2 linked regions of the Ovis aries genome follow. The protein of the gene in region 2 purifies or fractionates together with the protein of the main gene of each other region. This does not show direct contact. Links are inferred from orthologs where the notes say so. Each region holds a gene or a part of one and is shown on either strand. Other genes may lie near its edges.

What was found. The genes of interacting proteins can lie anywhere in the genome.
Region 1: the proteins of LIN28A (region 2) and RSBN1 purify together in Homo sapiens (co-immunoprecipitation; 3 studies listed by BioGRID and IntAct, with this or other methods). This does not show direct contact. The link is inferred for Ovis aries from reciprocal best matches to the Homo sapiens genes LIN28A and RSBN1.

What each region holds. Positions count from the first base shown.
Region 1 is NC_056054.1:91,120,684-91,124,428, forward strand, and holds the start of RSBN1 (lysine-specific demethylase 9), read right to left. Parts: upstream 2,316-3,745; 5' UTR 2,253-2,315; coding exon 1,547-2,252; intron 1-1,546. UniProt on the Homo sapiens protein: Histone demethylase that specifically demethylates dimethylated 'Lys-20' of histone H4 (H4K20me2), thereby modulating chromosome architecture.
Region 2 is NC_056055.1:240,443,222-240,446,966, reverse strand, and holds the start of LIN28A (protein lin-28 homolog A), read left to right. Parts: upstream 1-886; 5' UTR 887-964; coding exon 965-995; intron 996-1,461; coding exon 1,462-1,658; intron 1,659-3,745. UniProt on the Homo sapiens protein: RNA-binding protein that inhibits processing of pre-let-7 miRNAs and regulates translation of mRNAs that control developmental timing, pluripotency and metabolism.

The sequences.
Region 1 (3,745 bases), on a different chromosome or scaffold from region 2:
AAAAATGAATAGCAGTATGAGAAAGCAACACATGCAGCTGGACAATGAAGCTTGAACTAGGATTCAGGAGATCTAGGTTCTACTCTCTATTATGCCAATGATTTTTTACTTGTTACTAATTAACCGTGACTAGATTAGACAAGTCTCTTCGCTACTTTAGGCCTGGGTTTTCATTCTTCTACAATACAAATTTGATTTGGATGATCTCTGAGATTCCCTCTGGCTCTATACAATTAAAACCCACAAAAATACATACACATATGAAATGAAAAAGTGAAAAATAAAGGTAAAAATAAAACAGAGCAAGATTATTGTATACTGGTGGTGGAAACTGGCACTCCTGTCCATCTGGCACAAGTTCTATTCCTCAGAATAAGACTCAGATACCAACAAAGGAAGAAAAATTTAATTCAGTTCAATAAAAACTTACTGAGCAGTAATCTGCAACAAACTGCACCATCACAAAACTAAGTAGCCCTAGGTTAAGACCATTTAAATATGTGTAAGAAAGCCAAAACTCACCCAACCTGAGACTGAAAGACTAGTTCATTAACACATAACTCAACTGCCCCAGTACTAAGAACACAGAAGTATTTTAAACTCTTCAGAAGATAATGCTAAGAAATTACATAAAATCACCTACAAAGTACAAATACATGGCATAGTCAAAATTCTTATCCGCGCCCCCGCCTCCCTCTACCAAAGAGAATGAAAATAAATGCTACAGGTACTTTCGAATAGGAAAACAGCAATTTTTGTGAATCTAATTTCTCTAGAACCCACACTCACTTAGTAGAGTCCTACATCTTCTGGATTATATTCTTGACTTTAGTAAGTCTACTGGAAATAAATTCTCAATTTGTTGTGCCAGGTTAATTAAAATGCAACTGGAATTCTTGTCTCTACTATCGCCTACTGAACATTTCCACTTTTCAGAGGCTCGGCTGGTACTATTTTCAAGGATCAAAGAGGAGAGAAAACCCTTTCCTGAAAATTAAAAATGATTTTTACCTCCACATTAAAAAGAAAACACACACAAGATAAACTGTGTTTGATATCTCATCTTTCAGAAGCTAAGGCAACCTGTGAGTCGAGCTAATTAATCTCGGTAAAAATTCAAACTCCTTAATAGCCCCAAACCATACTCGTTAATTTTGTGGAGCTTTCCATCAAGGAAAACGGGGGGGGGGGTGTTTTAGCGACAAGCCTTTACTTCAGACAGTTTTTAATACCCCACATACTATCCCATGCCAAGGATCGCGCGGCGCGGAAACCCTGACGATTTTGAAAACAAACGTAAAGGCTCCGGGAGGGGGGAATGGTAAGGGGGTTAGTAACTGACAGCTCGGCCTCGAAGCAAGAAGCTTCAAGTAGGTCAGACCGTGTCGACGGACGGAAATCCAGGGTCCACCCCAGTGGGCTTAGGGGAGTAGAGCAGCAGGAGGTAAGCGGAGGGCAGGCGTCTTTCAGGATTAAAGGGGCGGGATATCGAAACAGAGAGAGACCCAGATAGAGCCCGAGCTCGGGGCAGTTCGGCTGCTCTCACCTCTCTTGGGGGCCTTGAGGAGAGGCACCCCTCCTGTCCTCTCGCCGTTTTCCTGCTTGTCCTTGTGCTTGAGCTCTCCGGGAGCGCAGGGGCCGGGGTCACCATCAGAGCCGCGGTGGTGATGGTGCTTGTGCCGCTCCTTGTGGCCCTTATGCTTGGGCCCGGCTGCGCTCACCGTCAGGGGCGAGAAGGTGAAGAGGGCCGAGGTGCCCGGGGCCGGGAGCGGGGCAGCGACAGCGGGTCCGGCGGGTGCCAGCGAAGGTGGCGGCGGAGGCGGCAGGAGCAGAGGCTCAACAGGGCCTGGGACGGTTGGGGCTGCATTCGTTGGCGGCAGCGGCCCGGGATGTTGGCGGCTGCGACGCCGCCGGTGAGGGGGAGCGAGAGGGGGGTCCTGGCTCGGCCGCCCTCTCTTCTCCTGAGACCCCCCGCTGCTCGCTCGGCGCTGCCGCTTAACTCCCCGCGGCGAGACCCCAGCGTGGGGTTTCTCCTTCCCGTCTTTGTCCGCCTCCTCCTGCGCCGCCACCGCCCGTACTACGCGCACCGCTCCGACCTGCGCAGCCATTTCACCCACAAACACACATTTAAATGGCCCGACCGCCCCCCCGTCCGCGTATCGCGCAAGCGCCGCCCGCGCACGGCCCGCTGGGCATTGGAGTCTCTCCCCCACCCTCCACTTCTCGGCCATTCTTCGTCCAGAGCTGAACATGCCGGAAGCGGCACTTCCCGGCGCTTCTCCGCAGGCCCCTCCGACCGAGCTCTGTTGTAAAGTACCCAAGGCCGCGCAGAGCCTCACGGGAGCGGTAGTTCCCCGCGCCCCCGCCGCGTAGCTGGCTCGTCGAGCCGAGGAGCCGAAAGAGAGCGTGCGCCGAGTCACGCTTCGGGCTGCGACGCAACCGCCGCTGGGCGGAGAGTTGCCGCCAACCGCCTTAACGGCCGAAACAATGTTAATAGCTTTCGAAGTCTGTAGGCGCGTTCCCATTATCGTCTCCGTGTGCCCCTTCGTCATTTTACACGGAGTGGGTGGTCTCCATAGTTACTTTTCAGTTTGCTATTCCTCTCATAACCTTTGTGAGGTAAAAGAATCTCCGGCCTTCTACAACCCTGGACAAGCGATGAGATGCAGAGGAAAAGGGAACGTAGTAACATAGCAAATGAGGGCGATTTTGCTTTAAGATAGAATGGAGCTGCAAATCAGACATTTCTGAACCTCTTCCTGGGCAGTAATTGCTATGGTTACAAGCACAGGCGCGACGAGGCAGGTGCAAGAATTGCCTGGGAGCCTGCTGAGCGCCGCCCACCTCTCCATCGAGTCACAGCCCCTCTAGTGCCTGGAAAGGTAGAGTCTATCTATTATTTAAATCCGTTCCTGCAGTTGCGAAAAAATCCTAGATGGAAAAGTATGTTTTGAAATTTCTTAAGATTTTTTCAAATCGTAAATATACGGCTGCATAAATTTGAGAAGTGTGTCTACCATAGCGCGCTCCAGAAATCATCACTACTCACCAAGTTTTCTGCCCGGAAGTTTATTTACAATTTGATCGGAAATTTATTTACAATTTGATCGTCACGTTACAATTTTACCGCCTTGATAAAGATATTTGGAAGTAATTGATTACAATAAACTACTCAAGATAAAATCACTGTGGTTTGATACCACTAGTATGAAGTATTCAGCTCAGTGAACACTATAAAGTTAGTTTAAAAGCCAGAAAGTTTATTGAGCACCTCTTGTATACAGTACACTATACAATAAAAAGGTAATATTTCATCTAATGTGTGTCTTCATTGGGATTCCTAATGAACAATATTGAAGAACAAATGACTATGTATTTCATTTTCGTAAAGCTATAAACTTTTTAAGTGAAATCATTATTAGTCAAGGGGGAATCCTTTGTAACAATCACCCACTAACTTGTTTGTTATATACAATTAGATTTGAAAGATCAACTTTCTTAAGGCAAATCCATATTAATATAGAGAAAATTTTAACTAGTAGTACCTCTGGTTAGTTGGATATAAGTTGCACATGTTTTACAGGACCTTTGAAATGAAAACATGCTACTGTATAAACAAAGCATGTTTATACAGCTGCTTTTTGTTCTGTTTTGTCTTTATTTTTGATTGAAGGATAATTGCTTTACAGTATTGTGTTTGTTTCTTCCTTACATCAACATGAATCAGCCATAGGTAAGCAGGGTC
Region 2 (3,745 bases):
GAATTCTTTACACGGAATCAATTGGGAGTGCTTTGAGGGATCCAGAGAAACTCGGTGGGAAACTCAGAGACATTCAGAGACAGACTTAGAGAGGCTGCGCCTAGGTCAGCAGTGGAGATCGGCCCCGCTGGGTCTCCCACCTCCCCCTGCTTCCCCATCCAGCTTCCCAGTGTCCTGAACTCCAGGTCTATCTAAGCACACGGGGGTGGGGGGCGAGAGCGGGTCAGCGCCGAGCTGCCGGGTCAGCTCTGAGGCCTGAAGGGGAAGGGAGGGGGAGGGGCGCTCCAGGGCTGGGGGAGGGGGAGGGCTCATCCATTTCTCCCTTGACAGGTGGTTTGTGTCTCTGATTGGCCAGCGCTGCCAGGCTCACACCTCCCTCCCCCCCAACTCTCTGGAATGTATAATTATCTGCACGGGGGGTGGGGGTGGTGTATAAGTGTGTGTGTGTGTGTGTGTGTGTGTGTGTGTGAGCAGTCACGTGGCTTTAAAACTGCACCCCCCCGCCATATGCCCCCCACCTGTATGCTGCTTTGGGGACCCCCGCCTAGTTCTTAAAGTGCAGGATCCCAAATTCCCGGGTACTCAAGACTTGAAGGGTTGACGGCCCCAATCTCCAGATGTGCGTGTGGGGAGGGGGTGTCAAACCTCTAGGTTCTGAGAAGGGACACCCCAGAGGTGTCAGAGACCGCCGTGGTGGGGGAGGGCCAGAGCTGGAGCCGGAGGGAAAAGGAGGGGAAAGGCGATGGAGGGGAGGGGAAGGGAGGGGAGGGGGGCTGCCCGCGGGGGGTTGGGTCATTGTCTTTTAGAATTTGGGAGCCTTTGAAAAGCCGTGGGCCCTCCCACCGCTATTGTGCTGGGGAAGATGTAGCTGCCTCTTCCCCGAGCCACCCCTTTGCCTCCGGACTTCTCTGGGGCCAGCAGCCGCCCAAGCGAGGGCCCGGGGCCGCGGGCTCAGCAGACTACCATGGGCTCTGTGTCAAACCAGCAGTTCGCAGGTTCGACCTCGGGACTTACTAGGGACACCTTAGGCGACAGGGGCGCCCCGAAGCCACATGAAAGAGAGGTGGTGAAGTGTCCCCCAGGCTAGCCCAAGGACTCCAAGTCTGTGCGGCCTCCTGCTTCTGGGGGCCATCTCTGGAGCCAGGAACCCTGGTGTCCCAGTGGCGAGCAAGCTGAAGGTCCGGGGGCGGGGGGAGAGAAGAGGAGGGGCCTGTCTGGCCGCATGTCCCCGGGCAACGTGTTGTGGAAAGAAAAGCAAAACTTTCGGGGCACCGCTGGCCTCAGTTTAAGCTGGGGGAGCGCGGGAGGCGGCCGGGACAGGTATTTTCTCGCCGGCTGCTCGGTAGCTGCAGCCTCCTGGTTGTCCAGCCTCGGGCTGGACCCTCGGGTCTCCTTGCCGGCTCTCTGCTGGGGGTCCTCCAATTCCGTGGCCCCCCAGCTGAGCGCCTTCCCAATCTCCAGGTGGCTGCGCTAAGGCGCCGGAGGAAGCGCCGGAGGAGGCGCCGGAGGACGCGGCCCGCGCGGCGGAGGAGCCGCAGCTGCTGCACGGTGCCGGCATCTGTAAGTGGTTCAACGTGCGCATGGGGTTCGGCTTCCTGTCCATGACCGCCCGCGCAGGGGTCGCGCTCGACCCCCCGGTGGATGTCTTTGTGCACCAGGTGAGAGCGATTCTGGTAACTTTGCCGCAGGAACGGGATGTTGGCGCGCGTATCCGAGAGTGGGCGGACGGACTCGGCTGTTGGGTTTGAGGGGAGATCCAGGGCCCTCATTGTGCGTTCCCGTCTTTGCCGAGGAACCCCAGTTCTGAGTCCCTATTAACTCCAACGGGACGAGAGCGGGGGAAGAGCCGATGATTAACACCCCCACCCCCTTCCGGGAACCCCTCTGGTTTACCACGTGTCTGTTACCTCTTTCCCCTGGGCAGGGGGCAGGGGGCAGGGAGGTGATCCCATGTGGCAGAACTAAGGTTGTATTGTGCTTGCCAGTGGGGGGAGGGCGAGCGGGCCGGCCAGGGAAGCACATGCCCGGTCAGAGCAGAGCCCTGAGCGCCCGCGCGTTTCAGCATCTTGTGAATGGAGGTCCCGGCCTGAAGGAAGGGAGGAAGACGGCTTCGGGACCCAACGGCGGAAAGCCGAGAAGTCTGCCGGGTCCTCACACCCAGGCGGTCACCAGGCCCTGGGGTTCTGGGTGGGTTTGGTAGATCCTTGAAGGATCTATTTGGGGGGCTTGGAAGTTCCGCAAGAGCACAGTGTCAGGCACATGGATCACTAGCGGGGCTCTTACTGTCTATTTCCTATTAGGAAAGAAAAGGCAACGAGGCCGGTCTTCGACTCCTGAGCCAGCCGGGGCGGGAGTTAGGTCGCAACCCCAAGTTCTCAGTTAAAGCAAGGCAGCACGGGGTGGGGTTGGGGGGTGAAATTCAGTGTCGCAGGGCAGGGGGTGGAGAAAGGCTAGCCTCAGGACCTATTCTCCTCAGCTTGGCATTTATGGCCCTAGATAGCCATTGATTGCCGTCCTAACATTCCCAGCCTCAAACAAGGAACCAGAGACTTCGTCTTCCCCCCTCCCTGGCCACCCCTTCCCGAGTATCTTGGAAGCCTCGCATAACCACTGTGTAGAGGAAGTTGTTGCTTGCGCTCCCTCCATCTTTGGAGGTTTGGGGCTGGACCTGAGAAGAAATTGCTAATCTCAGACCCAGGAGGTTGACACCCAGGCCGGGCATGGAGGGGTTACTTTGGGGAGGTTGGCTTTAGGAGCAGTGGGGGAGGGGAAAGGAGGATGTGGGGATTAAGGGTTGGAGCCTGAGGGATGGTATTCTGGAGGGGGAGGGGTGGAGAGGGAGATGCTGGGTAGACTGTTTGGAGGGAAACAGCGGGGAAGTCCCCACATGGCCCTCAGTGAGGACGCGGAATGGGGAAACATGGGAGAGAGAGGACGCAAGGAGATGGGGATCCACCAGTTAACGCTGGGATCACCGGGCTCCTAGAACATCTGCCAGAAGGGTCAGCTGCAGAATGCTTGGCTGCCCCCTGGCTTCCCCTGCTTCGGCGACCCCCAGCTTTACCCCCTTCCCTTCCTACAACTAATTCTGGCTGGTGGCTAGCCCCACTTCCTGTCTCATTTACATATGTGAATGATAACCCACAGGAAGTAATTGTGGGCGAAAGAAGGGAATTGGCCTCTTTAGATCTATTAAATCACTTTATTACAGGAACCAGCTTTGAATGGCCCTCCTCAGCAGGGTGGCCAGCTCCCCATTTATCTGGTCACAAAGAGATTAAAATCTCTCCCTGTCTGGAGACAACTGGACATCTTCCCCAACTTTGGAAAGCTTGGAATGAAAGAGTCAGACCCAACATTTTCTTGCCTCCCTTCCAAAGGCTGCCACATAGGGAAAGATGGAGGGGAAGGTAGTCCCTCTGAGCTTCTTTGGTGATATCCAACTCCCAAAGAAGGTTTTCCTGAGCAAATGGATCTGTGCCTCAGCCCACTTAACCTTTATAAAGGATCAAAAGCAGTTGGGAAATACGGGATGGCATAAAAGAAAATGGGGACTAGCCTTCAGATTTGGGGAGTGGAGCCCACACTATGCTGTTTCACATGGGTTTGCTGGGAGATAACCTGGACTTGGGGTCTTGGGATGTCCAGGGACATTCCACAGTTGAATAAGTTATCAGGAGGAGTTGAGCTGGGATAAGGAATCAAGAATTGTCTCCCTAACACCCCCTGCTAACAGCCACAGAGG